Elephas maximus indicus: one gene and its partners. The protein of the gene in region 1 interacts with the protein of each later gene in a biochemical or structural test. Links are inferred from orthologs where the notes say so. Each region holds a gene or a part of one and is shown in the gene's direction. Other genes may lie near its edges.

Region 1 (7,622 bases):
ATGGTTTGGTTTCTGTTAAGACTTGCTTTATGACCTAATATGTGGTCTATCCTAGAGAATGTTCCATGTGCACTGGAGAACAAAGTATACTGGCTGCTGTCGGGTGGAGCGTTCTATACATGTCTATGAGGTCAGGTTGGTTGATTGTGGCATTTAGATCTTTTGTGTCTTTATTGAGTTTCTTTCTGGATGGTCTCTCCTTCACTGAAAGTTGTGTGTTGAAGTCTCTTACTGTAGTTGCGGAGCTGTCTATCTCACTTTCCACTGCTGTTAGAGTTTTTTTATCTTGCAGCTCTATCACTGGGTGCAAAAATATTTAATATGGTTATATTCTTCTGGTAGATTGTCCCTTTAATCATTATATAATGTCCTTCCTTGTACTTTGTGGTGGATTTAATGTTAAAGTCTATTTCGTCAGAAATTAATATTGCCCCTCCTGGTCTTTTTTGATTGTTGTTTGCTTGATATGTATTTTTTCATTCTCTGAGTTTCAGTTTGTTTATGACTCTAAGTTTAAGGTGTATCTCTTGCAGGCAGCATATAGACAGATCATGTTTTTTTAAATCCATTCTTCCACTCTCTTTCTCTTTATTGGTGCATTAAGTCCATTTACATTCAGTGTAATTATTGATAGGTATGAGTTTTTAAAAAAACTTTTTTTTTAATGAGTTTAGTGCTGTCATTTTGATGTCTTTTTTTGTGTGTGTTGTTAACAGTTTCTTTTTCCCACTTAATTTTTTGTGCTGAATATTTATTTTCTTTTCCTCTTATTTGTTGTTGTTGATTTTGTTTTTGTTAAGTCTTTATTTTTTTCTTGTATTTTATTTTGATGTGTAGGTTTGTTAGTCTCCTTTGTGGTTACCTTAAAATTTACCCCTATTTTTCTAACTTTAAACCTAACTTTTCTTTCTTTATATCACCTGGACTTCCTCTCCATATGAAAGATCTATGACTATATTTCTTAAAAAAAAAATATTTCTTAGTCCTTCTTTATTGTTTGAATGTTGTCTTCTTTTACATAGTAACATTGCTGTTTCCCTGTTTTGAGTGTTTTTTAATCTTGATTTATTTTTGTGATTTCCCTATCTGAGTTGATATCTGGTTGCTCTGTCCTGTGTTCTAGTCTTGGGTTGATATTTGATATTACTGATTTTTTAACCAGAGAACTCCCTTTAGTATCTCTTGTAGTTTTGGTTTGGTTTTCACGAATTCTGTAAGCTTCTGTTTATCTGGAAATGTCCTAATTTTGCTTTTATATTTGAGAGACAGTTTTGTTGGATATATGATTCTTTGCTGGCAATTTTTTTCCTTCAGTGCTTTATATAAGTCAACCCATTACCTTCTTGCCTGCATGGTTTCTGCCGAGTAGTCCGAGCTTATTCTTATTGACTCTCTTTTGTAAATGGCTTTTTGTTTACCCCAGCCACTCTTAAATTCTCTCTTCATGTTTGGTTTTGGCAAGTTTGATTATAATATGCCTTGGTGACTTTCTTTCGAAATCTATCTTATGTGGAGTTTGATGAGCATCTTGGATAAATATCTTCTCATCTTTCATGATATCAGGGAAGTTTTCTGCCAACAAATCTTTAACAATTCTCTCTGTATTTCGTGTTATCCTTCCCTGTTGTGGTACTCCAATCACTCGTAGGTTATTTCTCTTGATAGAGTCCCACATGATTCATGGGATTTCTTCATTTTTTAAAAATTCTGTTATCTGATTTTTCTTTGAATGTATTGGTGCCAAGTGTTTTTTCTTCAGTCTTCTAATTCCTCAATTCTGTTCCTCTGACTTTCTATTGAGTTGTCTAATTTGTAAGTGTATTGTTAATCTTCTGAATTTCTGAATGCTGGTTCTCTGTGGATTCTTGCAGCTTATTAAAGTTTTCATTATGTTCTTGAATAACCTGCTTTATTTTTGTGTTCCTTGGCCTGTTCTCCATTTTTCCTGATCTAATTCCTGATGTCTTCAAGAGTTGTATATATTAATCTTTTGTATTCTGTATCTGGTAATTCCTGGAAGACACCTTCATTCACAAGATTCCTTGTTTTGAGAGCTTGTTGAAGTGATCTGGTCTACTTCTTTATGTGATTTGATATTGACTGTTGTCTGCAAGCCATCTATAAGTTATTGTATTAGTTTATGTTTGCTTAGCGTATCCTAGCTTCTTGCTTAGTTTTATTTTGATATGTCCTAACAGACTGCTTGAGTGAGCTAGCTTATTTTCACCTTTGAAGCTCTAGCGTCCTGTCACCAGATGGCTAGAGATGTTACCCGGTGTATGAATCTAGGAGTCCATTCCTTTTTCTTATATGGATTCAGCTCAGGTGTCCAGTAGTCGGTCATCAAGGGTGTAGTACGGGCTCTGTCCTAAAGTCTTAGAGGTGCAGGGGTGATTGATGTAGGTACAGATATCTGTTTGCATAGAGGGTCACATTCTGAACAAGGCACGGGGCTGACAACTGTTCCCTGGGTGTCTGTGAGGAAAGTGCATGCCTGTTCCTTAGAGTGCATGGTTGGGTGGGTTCTGCACTAGGACCATGGGTACCCAGCTTTTGGTTGTAAAGACTGGGAGGTACCTCTTATCCTTGGACCCCTTTTGTGGGTGGCTAGGTGATGTGGGTGTAACCACCAGTCCTTAGGCCACCAATGTGGGTAGGTGAGGACCCCATTTAATAGGCAAAGCAGTGTCAAACATCAAACACCCACCTCTCTGCCACACAGCTGAAGCAGTTGCAGTCTGACAACAAGGGCCTGTTCTTCTGAAATGGGCCCACACAGGTCCGTGCAGAGGTGAAAAGTATTCAAAGTCTGTGGAGCATTTGTGCCTGAACAAGAGCTGCTCCTGTCCTGAGCTTCCCAGCTTAGTGTAGCTGGCGGATTATCTTTTCCCCCATCTGCTAATTTATTCCTTCTCCAAGACTGGGAGAACGGATCAGAGTGCACAGCAGAACCTATCTCAGGCCCAGAGAAATCGACAGCCACTGAAGCCAGCTTGGGGGCTGGGAGGTGGAGGGGCGGGTGTGTGTGGTAAAATAAACACAAACACTTAGCTTTGCCAAAAGCACCCATTCTTCTCTGGTTCTGGAGGTGTGAGTAAGCTGTGTGGCTTGCTGTCTCTCCCTGAGGAAACCACGTCAGGAATGCTACTGCACCAGCTTGCCACGGTCGCTACAGGGAATGGTGCCTGAGGGTTCCCGGAGGTTCAGGTCTGGCAACCCTAGCAGCTTCTCAACTATGTCTCCTGCCCCCTGCCACTCAGTCTGTTTTCTAACTTTGCCTTTGATGTTCGGAGCTCCTAGCTTGCCATAATCATTTCACTTGTTTTGGGGGGGGGTCTTTGTGTCTTTGTTGTAAGAGGATCACTGTAAGCATCCGGCTACCCTGCCATCTTGGCCCTGCCTCAAAAACAATCCTTAAGGAAGCAGACTGCCGCATCTTTCTTCTGCAGAGCTGCTGGCAAGTCCAAACTGCTGAACTTTTGGTTAACAGCCGAGTGCTTAACCTCTGCTCCACCAGGGCTCCTTCTGAAGCCCACTAGGCCCTATGTAAGTGTTGGATATTATTAATGCAAAGAGCACATCTACTAACAGTGTGTAATTTATTTCCTTGTAGTTTTTACAATGTAGTGCAAAACTGGAATTCTAATGAATGGAGTCCTTAGAATAAGCGATCATTGATTGTGGATTTGTAAACGGCATTTACTGAGTTGGAGCCTGAGCTCAGAGAGGTAGTCATTATTACAGCAAACACTGAGGCACCTGATGTGTGTGGGAGGCTAGGGACGCTAAGAAGGAAACACTACCATCATCATATGCTAGACACAGTTTCAGCCCTTCACAGAAGGCTGGCTTATTCTCCCAATATGCCATTCGTGTCTGTTTTCCTGTGAGGAAATTGAGGATTTGAGGACCTGAGAAAATTTCCTGTCCGTTCAACTCTACAGCCCCCTTGCCCCCGCACTCCTCTCCTTCCCACCACTCCTTGGGCCCCCCAATCAATACCCTGAACATCACTGCCTACACCTTAAGGAGCTTGCTCTGTGTTGAGTTATTGACTCAGGGAGACTCTGAGCATCTACTCATTATATCTATTCCTCTCTAGAGAGAGCTCGCTCCCTCTGCTCCCAGCAGCACCCCATCTCCTAACATTTGGGGAAGTAGGTTGGAGGAAAGGAAGGAGACGATAGAAGTTTCGAGCATGTGCTTGGATTTTCAGAGAATCTCCTGGAAGATCCTTTGGTCCGTCTCTATAAGAGGATGTTGGACCTGAGGCTGCTCTTATCTCCCCTGCCACCCACGGGGACGCCAGGTTTCCTTTCTTTCAAAGCTCTGCGCGATGGCCACACCGAAGCCCCGAGCTATGGGCAGGGGCCAAACGGTCACTTCCCCGCCCTCTGGGCGCAGTATGCAAATCCGAGCACCAGGAAGTAGCTGGGAACTCCCGGCCGAGCCCAGCGACCGCCAGTTCCTCTCCGCCGCGCCGGCCCGCGCCGCAGCTAGCTCCCGGCCGTGGCGCCCCGGGCCAAACGCGCTGCAGCTCCCAGCCCGCGACAGCGGCGGCCCGCGCCCCTCGGCCCAGCCCGCGCCTTCGCCGCCGCCCCCACGCTGGCCGGATCCGACCGCCCCGTCGGGCCCCTTGCTTGGATCTGAAGTCACCGTGGAGCTCGGCCGCCGCCCCCCAACTTCCATCGCGAGCGGGTGAGTAGTGAGAGCGAGCGGGCCGGCCGCGGGCTGGGGGGCGCGCCGGGTCCCTGCTCCACCGACCCCGCCCTGGAAGACAGGGACGCCCTGGCGCCTTCAGCCCGAGGGTGAGCGGGCCTGAGAGCCGGGTCGCGGGGGCGGGCGGCTCTGCAGGTGTCTCGCGGCGGGCGGCGCAGGGGCGGGGTGGGAGGTGCGAGGCGTGCGGATGGACGCCCCCTGGTCGCTCCCTGAGTGCGGCGGGGAAGCCCCTTTGCGCGCTGAGCGGGCCCCCAGCAGGGATCCGGTGGCTCAGGGCCCTGGGGTCGTCCGAGGTGAGGGGTGGGGCCCTTCGCGCAGCTGCCCTTTCGGTGGCCCCGGGCAGAAACGTGACGTCGAGGGGCTGCCGCGGGGCCGGCGCGCACCCTCCCCGTGAGCCAGGCGCCTTGCGCCCCGCGGAGGAGCAGCCGGTGCCTGCGCGGAGAGGAAGCGAGAGTTATTTTAAGAATACTGGGGTTGCCTTTTTTTCGCCTTGGGGGCAGGGTGTAAGCGTCAGTTCCCACTTTCCGGCGGCGTTATCTTGGTGGACTGTCAGCGTCCATCAGTCGCCGCGTGGTCGTGTGTAGTGTGGTTCTCATTCTTTGCATATCCAGTGTGTGTGCCTGAAGTACCCCAAATCCACTCAACTTCTTTACCATCTCAGAAACCTGAGTCGGAATCCGAGGGTTGCAATTTCCTAGCTGTGTGTGAACTTGGGCCAATTATTGAAATCCCGTTCGTCGTTTTCCTCACCTGTTAGCCGTTTATTAAAAAAAAAAAAAAAAAAAAAAACCCTACTAAGGCATTCCCTAAGTGGTGTTATTATTATTTATTGCAAATAATTTTGTCCATCGAATTGAGGCTCCTTGGTTCTTTGCAATTTGATGGCTTTAAGCCCAAGACCACACGTCCAATTTACCCGTCCTTTTTATGCTGGGTCCTTGCTCTCTGAAAACTCAACTGTACTAGTAAACCTGCTTAATAAATACACGAGGGACTTGCTGTTCCAGCACAGAGACCGGGGGTCTGATTTATAAGAGCTAGCCAAAAAGGATTTTGAGTCGCTGCCTGTGGTCTGCCCTCAGCTGGCAGTAAGGTTAGGGAGGGCAGGGATGTTCTGTAGGGCCAGCACCTGAAGCAGTGATGCCTGGAATAGGCACTCAAACTCCTCACTCAGAAGTCCTTACTAAGGTAAGCTGTGCTGGGAAAGGGTGGCGTTCAGTTAGTGCCTCAGCTTTCATTTGCAGGTAAGGAGATAGGCATCTTGAGGCTTGAAGGATTTAACTTTATCACAAGCTTTGGGTGACTGGTCCCCTTGGATGTAGAGGACCATAACCCTCTTCTGAGTGCAGGGTAGAGGTTAGCCGATGTCAGAGAAGAGAAAACAAGAGCCAGGAAACTTCAGTTTTGGTCTCACCTGCCATTTGCTGAGCTGTGATTTGGGATGAAGTTAGTTGGGCTGTTTCTTCAGCCAACATTTGCTTCATAGCAGCAACCAAAGTTGCATCACAATTTGTTACATGTTTATAGTGTGCATTCACTAGGAAAGTGGAAGCTCCATGAGAGTGCAGCTTCGTCCGTCCAGCCCAAAATGCTAGACTGGGGGTCTGTGCATTCACTAGGAGAATGGAAGCTCCATGAGAGTGCAGCTTCGTCCATCCAGCCCAAAATGCTAGACCTGGGGTCTGCACATAGTACGTGCTTGAAAGGAGGAGGGAAGGGCCTGATCTGAGACAGTCACCTGCAAGGTTGAGATCAGATGGAGAGAAATGAACACTCTGGTTCCGAAGGCCCTGGAAGCTCACTGGTCCATTTATGTCCTTTGTCGACCCTGTCACGTGACCCGAGCATGTGTTAGAATCTCCACCCAGGGCTGGCCTCCCTTTGTATCACTGAGAGAGATCTTGATTTGATGTCTTAAGAAGATGCCTCCTATGTATACTTTACCACAATACAGAAAAGGGGAAGGGTGTGTTTCATTAAAAATAAATAAGCCTCCTGCAAAAGTAGGTTGCACAATCAAAAAAACCCACTTCCTTTTATAGTCATTGGTGTTCCAAAGGTGCATGGAGACTCTGGAAGATCCCTCTCCCCACCTCTTGCCTTCAGCGGTTTCTTTTTGGCAGGAAAGTGGTCCAACACAATTTTGTGAATCAGTAGCTTTCACAGCCCTTCAGTTCCATTTATGCATGTATTCAGAAATAAATCAAAAGGTTTGAGATTCCAGCTAGTTCAAGTTAATATATGGAACTATAACTTAAAAAAAAAAAATTAAAACATTACTCATAGATAAGCTTGTAATGGATTGAATTGTGTTCACCCAGAATATGTGTTAACTTTTTTTGGTTAGACCATGCGGGGTTGTCCTTCATTTTGTGATTTTCCTATGTGTTATAAATTATAATCTCTGCCTGTGGTTAAAAGGATTAAGGTGGGATTATAACACCACCCTTACTCAGGTCACCTTCCTGATCCAATGTAAAGGGAGTCTCCCTGGGGTGTGGCCTGCACCACCTTTTATTTCTCAAGAGATAAAAGGAAAGGAAAGCAAGCAAAGAGTTGGGGACCTCATACCACCAAGAAAGCAGTGCCAGGAGCAGAGCGCATCCTTTGGACATGGGATCCCTGTACCTGAGAATCTTCTTAACCAGGGGAAGATTGAGGACAAGGACCTTCCTCCAGAGCCGACAGAGAGAGAAAGCCTTCCCCTAGAGCCGACACCCTGAATTTGGACTTGTAACATACTAGACTGTGAGAAAATAAATTTCTCTTCATTAAAGCCATCCACTGTGTTTCTGTTATGGCAGCAGTAGATAACCAAGACAGAATTTGGTACCAGGAGTGGGGTGCTGCTCTAAGAGACACCTAAAATGTGGAAGTAGTTTTGAAACTGTGAATGGTTAGAG
Region 2 (7,086 bases), on another chromosome or scaffold:
TGCAGATAACGCCGGCATCCTCGTCGTGGGTACAGTCACTGTTCCCCCAGCCCCGGGACGCACACTCAGTCACACTCTTCTCAGTCCCACTGCAGCTCAGGTTGTCCAGCCAGATGCGGCCTGTGGAGGCAGAGATGGAGGGACAGAAAGGCTTGGAGAGGTAGAATGGGGTGTGATGGGGCTGGTGGGAGGGATGAGCATTGGGGCTTCACATCTGGCCATGATGAGTTCACTTTTCTGGGAAGATAATGGGTGGGGAAGGAACAGGAGTCTGTGGAGGGAGAAGGGGGGATTGATGGAGGGAGCCCCAAGAATTTAGTAGGGCAAATAAACAGGAATCGATACGGACGTTCTGATCAGTTCTTACACATTCAATGATAGCTACAATTGTGCCAAGCACTTTGCCAGGGTCTGTACCTATGTTGTCATCTTGGAACAGTGCTGCCTGGAAGATATTATCACTGTTTTATATAAACAAACTGGGCTTCAGAGAAGTTGAGTAACCTGCATAAGACCACACAGCCACACAGCCGTGAGGAGGCTTAGGAGTTTGGGCCCAGTCTGTGAGACCTGGAAACCAAAGATCCTTTCACCTCACTCACACATTTTCTCATGTGGCTGCCCTGCCTGTGTTGCCGTGATGCCACTTGGTGTTCTCCCTGCCTGAACCACACTGAATATCATTAACTTCTTCTCTGAATTGGGTGGAGCCTCACAGGCCTTGTGTCCCAGCCAATGTGCAGGGACCCCCTCATGCATTCCGTAACAGGGCTTACCCAGCTTCTACTGGGACATCTACCTCCACCAGGTCACTGTAACCATCAGAAAGTCCTTGTGATTCTATAAGACTTTCCTCTGTCAGTCTGATTCAGTCCTTTGATGCCATCCAGAAAAAGTCTTCAGTCACATGACTGACCCTACTATATTTAAAGATGACCATCATGTAATTGCCATCTAAGGCTTTTTCTTTCCAGATTAAAGATGGCTGGTTTCTCCAGCTATGCTTCCTTATAACTTGGCTTTTGAATCTCTGACATCTGGGTAGTTCTTCTCTGACAGTGTTTCCGTTTTCTAGCGTCTCTGAAAAATCTGACATCTATGAGTAGACACTTTATTTCAGAAGTGGTCTAGCCAGTGGGGATTGGGGGATTGGGTCAGGTTGCACCAACTCTGTCCATCAGTCCTACTGTGGTCTCAGACAGTGCAAGCACTCCCAGGCCTCAGTCAGAATTGCTCTTAATCCCCTACCAACCACACTTAGACTTGTCCTAGGCATTTTACTTGTCCTTACTCAGTTCCAGTTTGTGCGTTTCAGCTGTCGCCTGTAACTGGATTTTATCAGCAGCAGTATCTGGGATCCCTTCTGGCTTTGGGACACTCAGACATCATTTACCTGCTCTCAGCCTCCCATGGAGCAAGCTGTACTTGAATTGCCCTTGTGCATGGCTTTGTAGAATCACACCCTTTTGCAAAACAAAGGAACTTATAGATCATCTAGTCATTTTTACACATGGGGCATGTGAGACTCAGACAAAGCAACTGATCAGCCTAAGGTCGCACAGCTCTGGTGAGTGACTGTGTTGGCTGGGTGTCACTCATGGGTTTTCTTGACTCCAGCTCTTCTTGGTGTCCTGTGTCCCTGTGGTTGTGTCATTCTGGTGCTCCTCTCCCTGCACTTAGGTGTCATTTAGGCAGTCAGGGTACCTGGCTCTTCCTGGGGGGCATTGCTCACCTGTTCCAGCACCGTATTTGGCACTGTGGGTCCAGCCTGTAGCCTCTGTGAAGCCCAGCTCCCGGCAGAGGACGTGGGCAGCCTGCAGTGTGAAGTCGTCATCACAGATGGTGCCCCATTCGCCAGCACGCTGTATCTCCACACGACCCTCGTAGGGCTTCCTGGGGAAGCCAGCCAGCCGGAACCGCAGCCCCTGGTTTCCGTCTGGGGATGGAGACCCCAGACAGGAGCCACACAGCAGGCACAGCAGCAGCCCCCACGTACTCTGTTTCCAGACACTGACAGGTTGCATGGCAGGGAAGGCCTGGGTGCCCCAGGGAGAGGAATGTGAGAGAGAAGCTGAGGTTAAGACCAGAGTCCAAGTGAGATATCACGAAAGAAAGACACCGAGACATACCAGAGAGAGATAGAGAGACAGTGAGAGAGAAGGACACTAAATAAGACAGAAATATATTAAACAAGGGCAGAGACACAAAGTCAAACAGGTAAGGGATGAAAGACCCAGGCCCACACTGGGGAGAGGAGGAGAAAGAGGGGGATGATGAGGAGAGGTATATGCTCTCCCCACCGTTTTGTAAATATTGAAACCCTCACCATCAGCTGTTATGTCCCACAACATCCTTCCCTAGTTCTGCCATCATCATCTCCATTACCCCTACTCCCCAGCCCGAGAGACCCAGAGACTGAAAGACAGTAATTAGAGACCAAGAGTCAGAGAATGGTCAAAACAAAGAGATAAAGAGATGGAGACTGCGCAAGAACACACAGAGAGGAAGACCCAGACAGACAGGATGTGAGAGGAAGGGAGAGTGTGGGAGTGAAAGGGAGACCAATGGAAAGAGACTGCAGGAGAGACAGACACAGTGAAGACAGTTAGAAGGTGACAGGGAGAATGCTAGGCACACAGAATTAAGGTGCCAGAGAGAAAGCTGCAGGCAACAGGTGAGGGGGAGAGGGATGGACAGGAGTCAAGGAGCAGATGTGGGAGGGACCCTGATGACTCCATTCAGCCAGTCAGAGGGACTGACAGCTCCACTGATTGCGCTGAGAGGCAGGCAAGGAGGACCCAGAAGACCCTCAGATCTCTGGTTCCTCCAACAGGAGTGGAGCCCAGAGTACCAGATGCCAGAGGCAAGGAAGGCAGACACTAGACCACAAGGAGTACCCGCTGTACACCTTTCCCACCACGCAGGCTCTCAGATGCAGGGCAGGGTCAAGAGGCCCAGGAGGGCCGGGCCTCAAGCTGGGCAGGGGGATGGGGTGGGGTTCTTGGAGCCGCCTTTGCTGTCACCGAGCAACGGGAGGCAATGCTCTGATCTGATAGGAAGCCAAGGCCCTCTCTTGGTCTGGGGCTCACAACAGCCCCTCCACAGTGAGGGGCCCACTGAAACATGCTTCCCCCAACCCAGATAAACAACCCAACAAGACATCTTTGTTCTGAGAATATTTTGGCTTGGGGGCACCGGGCTGAGGCCTCGCAGACAAGCCCCTAGCCTCAAGGTCCTCCCGACTGCCCCATCTGGGACACCCTACACGACCCCTGCCTCCCCATTTCTCCACTCTTCTAGTGTCTCACTCCTTTTTGACAATAATAAAACCCTCAGTTGGTTGGCTTCCCCTCGACTCCATCCTTTTTCCCTGGTCCCTCCACCGTCCTCTCCATCCCTAATAACCCTGTTCCTCCTCTGGCAGGCTAGCCTGACTCCCCTACCTTTGGCTGAGCAGGGATCTAGGGGCTGGTTGAAGAGTCTTGGTCCCGGAGATCAGTCCTAGGATAAAAAAAAAAGTGTTCGGACAGGGGAGACCGGACCCCCCCCCCCCATTCGTCCCTCCTACATCCCCTTGAGCCCTCCCACATTCCGCCTTCTCCCTGGATTCCTCCCTAGCCAGTTCCCTCCTTTTCTCTTCTCGGTCCTCCCCTCCCGGGTGGAGCTGGCCGCAGCCGCGCCCCCTCCCCCCCACGCCCTCCCGGCCCGCTCAATGAGGCTTTCTTTTCCCGCAGGTTGGAGGCCGGACAGCTGCGGTCGGGTAGCTGGACACGCAAGAGGCCGCGGGGCCGCCTACAGGCCCGGGCGGCAGCCCCCGTGGCGGCGGGAGGCCGCTGGGCTCGGGGTTCCGGGAAGCCTTCCAGCCCCCAGCCCTTCCCCCACGCCCCCGGCTCGCGGAGGGTAAACACTGCGACTCCGGCCGGGCTGGGGGCGGGCCGGGCGAGGGGAACTGAGGCCATGAGGGCCCACGTGGCCCCTCTGGGGCCCCAGGGTGCCCGTAGGCGCTCTCGGGGTGATGTCACGGCCTTCACTCTGATGTCACGCAGGGCATAAGACGTCACACGCAGCCCCCTTCCCAGGCGCCGGGGCTGTCTGGCCGAAACCCGAAGTTTTCTCTCTGCGGAGCCACTTGTGCGCGCCCCACGGCCGTGGTAAGGGCCCGGAGGTGGTGCGGCCGCCCAGCTTATCTGGGGACCCCGGTCTTTCTTGCACCTCTCCCTCCCCCCTGTCGCGGCCCGCGGGGGCAGGGAAGGGCGGGAACGCCTCTGACGAGTCCGGCCCCGCCTGCGACCCGCCCCGTCCCGCCTCCCGCCCGCAGTGCCAGGAAGCGCCGAAGGGACCGCCGGGGGCCATGGACGGGGCTGAGATGGAAGGGCCGCTCTTTTTACAGAGTCAGCGCTTCGGGACCAAGGTAGTGGGGTCCAGGGGCTGCCGATCCCCTTCAGAGCAGGGGGTGGGCGGAAGGGCCCAGAAAGCAGGAGGGAGCGGGCGCGGGTTGGAGCGCGGCGCCGGGAGCTGGAGAGCCCGGTGATGGTCCCGCGAAGTCGCTCTGCACACTCCAGAGAAGCGTCGGGGTACGTCCTCCTTGTTCTTGGGGAGACGGAGCGGCGTCGTCCTTGGGAGACTTTGCCCCGGGTCGGGAAGCCCCAGACGCCAAATCAGCCTGAGACGCCAAATCAGTCTGAGCCCGTTCAGCCGCCGCGGTAGGGGCCCGGGCAGCCCGCGCTCGCCCCGCACCTTCCCCATCGTGTCTCTCTCCTTAGAGGTGGAGGAAGACCTGGGCTGTGCTCTACCCTGCCAGCCCCAACGGCGTGGCCCGGCTCGAGTTCTTTGACCACAAGGGGTCGGGCTCAGGGGGTGGCCGCGGGGGCTCGCGCCGCCTGGATTGCAAGGTGATCCGCCTGGCAGAGTGTGTCAGCGTGGTCCCCGTGGCCGTGGAGAGCCCCCCTGAGCCCGGCGCCGCAGCCTTCCGCCTGGACACAGCGCAGCGCTCCCACCTGTTGGCCGCGGACGCGCGGTCCAGTGCCGCCTGGGTGCAGACGCTGTGCCGAAATGCCTTTCCGGTGAGGAGGTCGGGGAGTGCGATCGAGGGGCTGGGGCGAAGCGGGGATGCATCCGGCTGGCTCAGACCCTGGGAGCCACGCTGGGAGATTATGGGGTCCTCTACACTCCCTCTCTCTTTACGACAGAAAGGCAGCTGGGCTCAGGCGCCTGCCGAAAACCCACCCAAACTTTCTGCCTTGGAGATGCTGGAGAACTCGCTTTATAGCCCCACTTGGGAAGGTAGAAACCCCAAGAAGTCCGGGCAGGGATGGAGTGGGGAGGAGGAGTGCCCTTGGGAAGGGAGTGATTAGAGGGTTCATGGACCCATAGGGAAGGGAAGATTTGGCTTCCAAGTGAGTGCCAGGACACTCTGCTTCTGACTCCTTCCGGGTCCTCATTCCTTCACCCTAGTCCCCAGTAACTCTTTTAAGCATCTAATCTAGTGTTCCTTTCAGGATCTCAGTTCTGGGTGACCGTGCAGAGGACTGAGGCTGCTGAACGCTGTGGCCTGCATGGCTCCTACATGCTGAGGACAGAGGCTGAGAGGCTGACTCTTCTGGCCATGGGCACCCAGAGTCAGAAACTGGAGCCCCTCCTTTACTGGCCCTACACTCTGTTGCGTCGTTATGGCCGTGACAAGGTGGGGGGTGAGGACCGTCAGGGACGGCTGTCAGAGAGGGCTTGCTGGGTTGGGCAGTTGTTGGTGGGGTGGGACAGGACAGGAAGGTGGGAAGCTCTGCTCTCTGGGACCCCCCTTCTTGGCCTACCCTGTGACCCCCGCTCCCCAGATGGTATCTTCAGATTCCCTACCTAGTTCAGCCCTGTGACTCACCTCCTCTGATGCTTCCCTCTATACCACCTTCAGGTTATGTTCTCTTTTGAGGCCGGCCGCCGTTGCCCGTCTGGCCCCGGAACCTTCACCTTCCAGACGGCACAGGGAAATGACATCTTTCAGGCAGTTGAGACAGCCATCCGTCAGCAGAAGGCCCAGGCAAAGGCTGGTCAGGGGCATGATGTCCTGAGAACTGACTCCCATGAAGAAGTGGCAGAAGGGAAGCTGGCTCCTCCTTGTGGCCCTCAGGAGCTCCTGTGCAGCCCCCCATCCCTGTATGCTGAACCGCTAGACTCCCTGCGCATCCCTCCAGGCCCTTCCCAGGACTCCCTATATTCAGACCCCCTGGACAGCACCCGTGCTCGGGCAGGAGACGGGGCGCAGTTGAAGAAACCTCTCTACTGGGACTTGTATGAGCATGTACAGCAGAAGTTGCAGAAGGCCAACCTGAAGGACCCCAAAGAAGACCCCATCTATGACGAACCTGAGGGCCTGGCCCCAGCCCCTTCCCGAGGCCTTTATGACCTGCCTCAAGAGCCCAAGGATGCATGGTGGTGCCAGGCTCGGGTGAAGGAGGAGGGCTACGAGCTCCCCTACAACCCAGCCACTGATGACTATGCTGTGCCCCCCCCTCGGAGCGCAAAGCCTCTCCTAGCTCCCAAGCCCCAAGGCCTGGTCTTCCTTGAACCTAGTACTGAAACTGGCAGTGGCAGCAAAGGCCACAACTCAGGCACTGCCTTGTATAGTCAGGTCCAGAAGAATGGGGCCTCGGGGAGCTGGGACTGTGGGCTCTCCAGAGCAGAGACCAGTAGGACTGGAGTCCAGTCAGAGGACTCCATATGAGAGTAAGGCCTGGCTGGCAGAGCTAATAGGAAGACTATGGGGAGATGGCACTGGGGATGAACAAAACCTGTGAGAACTAGAGGGAAGCAGGGCACAGGGGGCTCCTGTGTGAGACCAGGGTCTCAGAGGGATTAGGGTTGTTGAGGGAAGGATGACCAATTCCAACAAGTCCTAGGAAGTAGAACAGATGGCAGGAACTGAGGGATGGGATCTGGGGAGGGCCAGCACCCCTAAACCCTCCACCTCCCAAAGGAATGGACAACTGCTGGACTACATCTATAGAAAGGGGTGTACGATGAGAACAGGTGCAGTTTGAGGGGCCTGTATGGAGACTCTAGGGAAATGCTGAACTGTGCCTGGTTCTAACC
Region 3 (7,427 bases), on another chromosome or scaffold:
TCCTCACAGTAAAGTACGCTAAAAGTCCAAATTTAGGGTGTCAGCTCTAGAGGAGGCCTTTCTTCCTCTGTCGGCCTTCTCATCAGTCTTCCCTTTGACTAGGAGCTTCTCCATGCAGGGACCCTGGGTCCGAAGGACGCGATCTACTCCCAGTACTGCTTTCTTGATGGTATGAGGTCCCCCTGGCTCTCTGTGCACTTCTCTCTTTTATATCTCAAGAGATTGCCTCAAGACACAATGCAATCTTGCAGATTGAGTCCTGCCTCACTGACACAACTGCCGGCCATCCTCCCTCATTAACATCACAGAGGCAGGATTTACAACATATAGGAAAATCACACAATACCGGGAATCATGGTCCAACCAAACTGATACACACATTTTTTGGGGGACATAATTCAATCCACAATAACCCCCAACATTTCCGGGGTAGACATGTGACCCAAGCCTGGCCAAGCATTATATCTTGTCCCTCTGGCCTCCTTGACTGGTTTTCAATGTGCATGTGACTTAAACCAGGCCAGCAAGACCCAGTTTTAGTGCTTTTATAAACCTTTGCAGTGAGTAGATTCTGACTCACAGCAACCTTATAGGACAGAGTAGAACTGCTGCATAAGGTTTCCAAGGAGCAGCTGGTGGACTCGACCTGCTGACCTCTTGGTTAGCAGCCATAGCTCTTAACCACTGTGCCACCAGGGCTCTAGAGTTTTTATAGGAACTGTTGATGGGGCAGAGAAGTTCTGCTTCCACTGGTATTAGAGCTGAAACCTAGAGCTGCCCGAGTGCACAAGAGACAATTAAACAACAAAGAAAGTATTGTTGAAAGATGGAGAAATGTATGTATGTGTCTGTACACACACACACACCACCCTCAAGTCCTGCCGACTCTGAGTTCCTGGATCTAGGAATGTCTAGAACTAGCACTGTTCCTGGACTGTCCAGTTATAAGAGCCAGTAGATTTTAGGGTTCTTTGTTTGCTTATGCCAGCTAGAGCTGGGTTTCTACAAGTTGTAATCAAATGTCCTCATTGACACAATTATGAAAACTATAAAATACATCCTATATAAGATACAGAATATTTGCATCATCACAAATGGTCCACTGAACAGTGCTGATCTATAGTATAGTTCAACCCCATAGCTGTTCACTCGCTGTAGTTATACATGTCTGATTTCAGTACACAGCTAACAAACCCAAAGGCCCAGGTACTGGAGGTTGTCTGCTGTGCCCTGCACAAAGCCTAGATCTAAGGAGATTGAGGGCATCTCAGGGGAGAGGTAGGGGTGAAGGGACACTTAGGAAGTGCTTAAGGCAGTGGCTTTTTTCCAATCAGTACAGAAGGATTTCAATATTCTACTAACCAATATGGCTAAATTGATGTGTAACGGCTGAGTAAGAGCCCTGTTAGCAGATATTATAGTTTCTTATTTGGATGTTTGTTTTTCCTGCTGGACTGTGAATTCCTCTAAGTAGGGATTTTGTCTTACTCATTTTTGGAGGCCTAGTGCCTACTGGGAAACCCTGGTGGCATATAGGTTAAAAGATACACCTGCTAACCACAAGGTCAGCAGTTCAAATCCACCAGGTGCTCCTTGGAAACTCTATGGGGCAGTTCTGACTCGATGGCAACAGGTTTTCAGTAAATGTTTGTTAAATAAATGAATACAGATGACATTCTAGCATTATATAATCCCCTTATTCCGATTTTTTTTTTCCCCCTGATGGAAGTTTCCTTCCTAGAATTAAATTGCAATATGGTCTCTTTTTACCCACTCTTCTGAAGACTTGTACTCTCCAATATCAGTTGATTGAAGAAAAAAATTATAAATTTTCTCTCTCAGGCACAATGTTGATATTTTAACTCATAGTAATTTTTTTTCTCTTACAAAATGGATTTGAGTAATAAATCAAGATCCTGGAAATTTATGATTGCCTCAAGTGATATCTTTGATCTGTCATCTTAAGAAAAAAGTATGGTCTGATGGGCCAGAGCACAAACAGAGACCTTCTGAGTTTCAGTTCTCCCACAGCTGTGTGACTTAAACCATTTGCTAGGAGACTGGGATGTGGGTTCCCACATATAATGATAATGACTGTGAGGGCAGGCCCACATCTGGCTATTAACTATTGTACTCCTGCTACCTTGAAGGAGCCCTGGTGGCAAAGTGGCTAAGAACTCAGCTGCTAACTAGAAAGTGGGTGGTTAGAACCCACCTGCCACATTGTAGGAGAAGGATGTGGCAGTCTGTTTCCTTAAAGATTTACAGCCTTGGAAACCCTATGGGGGCAGTTCTGTTCTGTCCTATATGGTCGCATGAGTTGGCGATTGGTTTTGTTTTTTTTGGACTCCTGGTACCTAGCTTCTCCCTGCCTCACAGGTGTTTTTGTTAGGTGCTATCTAGTTGATTTCAACTCATAGCAGTCCCATGTGACAGAGTACAACTGTCCCATAGGGTTTCCGAGGCTGTAATCTTTATGGAAGCAGATCGCCAGGTCTTTCTCCCCTAGAGCTGCTGGGTGGGTTCAAACTGCCGACCTTTGGGTTAGCAGCCACGTGCTTAACTTTTGTTTCACGGTTGTTTTTGTTGTGTGTTGTAGAATCGACTATGACTCATAGAGACCCTATATGACAGAAAACTGCCCCATAGGATTTTCTAGACCCTCAACAAAATGCATTGACACAGTGGCTGTAGCAATGGGCTCAAACATAGCAAGGTTTGTGAGTTATGGCGCAGGACTGGGCAGCGTTTAGTTCTGTTGTACATAGAGTCACTATGAGTCGGAACTGACTCGAAGGTGCCTAACGACAACAGCAACAATCTTTATGGGAGCAGATCGCCAGGTCTTTTTTCCTTCAGAGCTGCTGGTAGGTTCAAATCGCTATTAGGTTAGCAGCCCAGATCTTAACCACTGCTTTGCAGTGGACAACAATAAATGTTTGTTGAATGAATACATAAATAAATTTAAAGAGAAGCAATTATACATATTGATCATTTGATCATCCTCTAGTAGTGATAATTTTTAAGTGATTAATTTAAGCCAATTTAGGTTATGTCAGCATCAAACAGGAGAGCTTTCAACATTAAATGAAGTGGGGATCTGGGCAATTATAAATTTTGGATGATACTTTAGAGAGGAGTCTAGGTGTACCTACATTGTTCTATAGCTTTTTTCTGATGGGCACTTCCCATTTATTTTCCATTCTTAAGCTCTGGGGAAAGTGGGGGGAGGATGTTTGTCTAGTTCATCAGAAGGCATAGGGAAAGCTCATCGTAACCTGGAGTCAGTTTTAAGATTAGGGTTCCAATCCTGGTCTCCCCTTTATTAGCTGTGTGATCTAAGGCGACTTTTAGAAATAAAATAATAAAGATATCTGCTCTAGCTACCTTATAAAGTTGTTATTGTGAGCATGAAGTAATATTCAGCATGGGGAAGAATTATAAAACTCTATACAGATATTGTTGTTACATTTCATTCAGGGGCGCCACCATAAGCAGGTGGGCGAAGCACTTTCTATGCAAAGGGACCTGGGTTAAAAGTATCATTTTACTATCATTTTGAGCCTGGCACGGGCTGGAGCAGCTAAGAAGAACGCAGGGATCCTCAGCCCTGTAACTGTCGTGATACAGACGCAGAGAAACTGCATAGAAAAAAAAAAAAAAAAAAAGGCACCCAAAAGGCTTTGCACAAGGATTGGTGCAAGTGGGTTTAAAAAATCAGGTTACCTGAGCAAACTTCGCAAGGCGCCCTTCCCCACTCCAAGGCCGCAGTCTTCAGAAAAGTCTGAGCAGGGGGTTGTTGGGTGGAGGCTACGCCGACCAATAGGGAACCAACTATGCTCTTACAGGTAACGGAGCAGGTGGAGAAACTGAGCATAATTACCTAAACTCCCTTTTAGCCTTTTACCGCGACGCCAGGCGCCACGCTAGGTCCCACTTGTCTAACAGGAATGGGGAACAATGTCGGGGTCCAATTTACTAACCACCCCGCTCCCGTCCCGGAACCACTTCCACCACCAGAAGTGTCCACGCCCTCCCTCATGAGTATGCACGAAGGCTGGCGGCCAACCTTTATTGTTTGGGGAACACCTGGCAGGTGGTGAGCCCTTGCCCTAAAGTGCGCTGGTGTTCGGCTTCACAAAACGCACACCCTCGTCCAGGAACTGCCTCCCGAGCCTCTACCACATTACAGAGGAGGAGAGGTGGAGAGATGTAGGGCTCGGGGGTCGAGACCCTGGCTGCGAGGGCCGGAGTGCCCTCCCCCGCCCCTTGGACACAGCCCCCAGGGATTAGCCAGTCGAAAGAGGTTGGGGCCAGCGACGCTAGAAGGGAGCGCAACCCATGCGGGCGGGAGGAGGGGAGGCGAGGAGGGGCGTGGCCGGCTCGCAGGGGGAGGGCACTGGGAGGAGGGGCTGCTTCTCCGCGCTCAGGCTCTGGGGGCTCGGCTTTGCCGCGCTGAATGCACTTGGGCAAGAGCAGGAACGTGGAACAGAGCTCAGGTTCCAGCGCAACCACCGCGATGAGAGGCGCTCGCGGCGCCTGGGATTTTCTCTGCGTCCTGCTTCTCCTGCTCCGCGTCCAGACAGGTGGGAGAGCACGGCGGACACCCCGGACCGCGCCCCCCAGGGCAGCCTATGCCCGACGAAGGGCTGAACATACTGGGGTGTGTCGGGAGAGGTGGCTGTTGGCCTTTCAGGTGCCAGGCGTTTTAGCCTGCGGGAAGATTCGAGGCGTCCCCGGGGACTCTCCTGCGCCCTGCCTTGCTCACCTGCGCAAGAAGCCCCCAGTCCCTGGTGCTGGGGCCACTGAGCTGGGAACCAGAAATGAGGGCAGCGAGGGGGCTGAGGGTGAGCGAGGTTGCAGGCTGAGGGCAGCCGAACTGCATGCGAGTTTGGGATTTCTTTTGTGCCGAGGGTTCGCGGGTGGTAGAGGCGGGCGGTCAGGGGTTCGCACCGAGCGCGTTATCTCTACCGTGCGAGGTGCGGCCACAGCTTCCTTTTGTTAAAAGTTGCGTGCGTGTGACCGGTACCCCAGAGGGCCGGCCGGCAGGTTCTCAGCCTTGCGTAGGGTAAAGTTCGAAAGCCTTTTTTTGCTCTGTGGCTGCTGCTTTCCAACCACGGGCGCTCTTTGTGCCTGCCCAGAGATAGGAACCAACGCGCTACCGCCTCTACTAGCGGCGAGACCGGTGGAGACGAGTCGGAGGCGGCTGTGCTTCCCGGCTCCCTGGTTATGCTTTTGCAAGCGAGGCGCGCGGCGTGCGGCCGTGGGGCCGGACCCAGGGTGCGTGGAGGTGGCGACGACAGGGTCAACTTGGGCAGGGCGTATAGCAAGCAGCCGCTAGGTTGCAGACTTTTTGCTTTTGTAAATCCCGTGCCGGAGGCTCTCCCCTTTTTGCCGCGATGCCGTTTCATCCTTCCACGCGCGCCGGAGCGGCTGGAGGCTGCGTTTGCCGCCGGCTCCCGGGGAGACAGGGACAGCGCGCTGGGGCACTGCGATCCACGACCCCAGTAGCCGCGCGCGCCCAAGGCAGTGTCCCAACAGGCTGGCGGGGCCCTGGAAGCCCCTCGTCTCGGCGACCTGTGATCGCAGCTCCCAGTTTTCTTCGGGAATTTTGAGATTCGCTGCACCCCTTCCCACGTAGTATTAATACTTCAGAGCAGCCTGAGGTGGGGGGTGGGAGATGGAGTGGAACTTTCTGCAAATTCTCCTTGGTTCTTAAAGCTGTTATGGAAATCCAGTTATATCCGCGCGGGAACTTGGGTCTTAAGGTGGGGAAGGATTTGCAGATTCCTGGACCGCTTCCTGACTCCTTTTTTTCTGGGTGTCGCTGGTACACGCGGCCCTTGCGGGTCGCCTGGGTAACCCCCTGAAGCCCTTTTCTCCCTCAGGTCATTTTTTTTTTTTTTTAAATCATTTAAGATTACCCTGATGATGTAAGGATAGAAAGTGAGTCTGAACTGGAATACAAGGGCTCCAGAGAAAGCATCGCAATGAACTATGGTGGGCTCTGTCGACTACCGGTCGTTTCTCCATAAAGTCTCAAGACGCAGCTTCCCCCTCCCGGTCCGAAAGGCATTGTGAAGGCTTTCCTGTCGGGGAGGAGAGGCCTTCCATCTGGACCCCTGTGAAGTAGGAGGGATCATGAGTCAGGGTTCCAATGCCTTGGAATTGACTGCCTAGCTAAAACGACGTATGCGGTTGTTACGTTCTTGTGTCTTATTTTATTTTTTGATTTCAGATAGGGTATGTGAACTAGACCCGAGTACGGTTCCAAGAAAGACAGGCCTCATTAAACATTTCCCTTTTTTTTTTAATTAAATGAATCGATTGTTTCCTTCTTCCCCATAATTCTCCCGCTTCATCCAGCAGATGTTTGGCAAAGGGAATTTTAAAGTCTGTGTCTCCTGGGGAGCACTGTGGTGTAGTGACAAAGCCTTGGACTTCCAATCTGGTTCGTTTTCTCTGCCATTCATTGGCTGTGTGCCCTTGGGCAGGATGCTGAAATTCTTGGGGATCCCAGTTTCCTCTGAAAGTATAATGAGGCATCCGCCTCATGAAGGTTCCTTTGAGTCCAAAATTCTCCTCCAGAGTTCTGATAGTCAACTGAGCATCTTTCTCAACTCTCTCACTGACCCCTTCCAGCTGTCTGGAAATTTCTTTGCTGCTTCTGGTCACTAGGGCCGCTTGGTGTGACCTACCTGTCTGCCCTTATAGTTTACGCTACCCACTCCTCTGCTGCCCTACAGTTTGCCTCTGACAGCTAGGAGAGGTGCCAACTCTCTAATGCCACCCCCTCCCTCCTCTAGTATTTACAGCTCCTATGTCAGGCAGGATGAACCTGGAAGGAATAGTGAATCATACCATCCCCTTGTTCCTGCAGGTGTGAAGCCAGAGTCATCGCCAGCAGCTGGACACAGGGCATGCTGGATTATTATCCTGCTGAAAATAATATGACAGTTTTATGGAGCGATCCCAGATAACTCATTTAATCCCATTCTCCTTCCTACCCATCCACTCATTTTTTCCTATGACTTTATAAATCATATATACTGGGCTTCTACAAAGCACGTTTTCTAATGTGCCCTAAATTTCATATTACATAAACTTGCTGCCCTTGAGTCGGTTCTGGCTTATAGCGACCCTATAGGACAGAGTAGAACTGCCCCGTAGGGTTTCCAAGGGACAGCTGGTGAATTTGAACTGCCAACCTTTAACCAGCCACCAAGCTCTTAACCACCGTGCATGTGTGTTATAAAATAGTTGTTGCTCTTTGATTAGAAAATGTGTGCCAGGCACTGTGCTGGGAGCTTTGCCTGTCATTTCCAATCCTCTCAGCAAGTCCAGGAGGCAGTACTATTACACCCCCAGCACCTACAGCTGAAGAAACTGGCTCAGGACAAAACACTTGCCCAAAATAATCAGTGGTA

Evidence for each region. The genes of interacting proteins can lie anywhere in the genome.
Region 2: of the proteins of LYN (region 1) and DOK1, one has a biochemical effect on the other in vitro, tested with the Homo sapiens proteins (2 studies listed by BioGRID, with this or other methods). The link is inferred for Elephas maximus indicus from reciprocal best matches to the Homo sapiens genes LYN and DOK1.
Region 3: the proteins of LYN (region 1) and KIT form a complex in vitro, tested with the Homo sapiens proteins (2 studies listed by BioGRID and IntAct, with this or other methods). The link is inferred for Elephas maximus indicus from reciprocal best matches to the Homo sapiens genes LYN and KIT.

What each region holds. Positions count from the first base shown.
Region 1 is NC_064837.1:77,118,613-77,126,234, reverse strand, and holds the start of LYN (tyrosine-protein kinase Lyn), read left to right. Parts: upstream 1-4,615; 5' UTR 4,616-4,698; intron 4,699-7,622. UniProt on the Homo sapiens protein: Non-receptor tyrosine-protein kinase that transmits signals from cell surface receptors and plays an important role in the regulation of innate and adaptive immune responses, hematopoiesis, responses to growth factors and cytokines, integrin signaling, but also responses to DNA damage and genotoxic agents.
Region 2 is NC_064835.1:61,284,142-61,291,227, reverse strand, and holds the start of DOK1 (docking protein 1), read left to right. Parts: upstream 1-4,068; 5' UTR 4,069-4,151; intron 4,152-4,318; 5' UTR 4,319-4,351; coding exon 4,352-4,411; intron 4,412-4,763; coding exon 4,764-5,063; intron 5,064-5,189; coding exon 5,190-5,283; intron 5,284-5,498; coding exon 5,499-5,683; coding exon of another isoform or gene 5,684-5,690; intron 5,691-5,908; coding exon 5,909-6,718; 3' UTR 6,719-7,086. Other genes in the region: LOXL3 (lysyl oxidase homolog 3), read right to left, coding at 1-120, 1,733-2,024. UniProt on the Homo sapiens protein: DOK proteins are enzymatically inert adaptor or scaffolding proteins. They provide a docking platform for the assembly of multimolecular signaling complexes. DOK1 appears to be a negative regulator of the insulin signaling pathway.
Region 3 is NC_064823.1:106,781,805-106,789,231, reverse strand, and holds the start of KIT (mast/stem cell growth factor receptor Kit), read left to right. Parts: upstream 1-4,409; 5' UTR 4,410-4,459; coding exon 4,460-4,586; intron 4,587-7,427. UniProt on the Homo sapiens protein: Tyrosine-protein kinase that acts as a cell-surface receptor for the cytokine KITLG/SCF and plays an essential role in the regulation of cell survival and proliferation, hematopoiesis, stem cell maintenance, gametogenesis, mast cell development, migration and function, and in melanogenesis.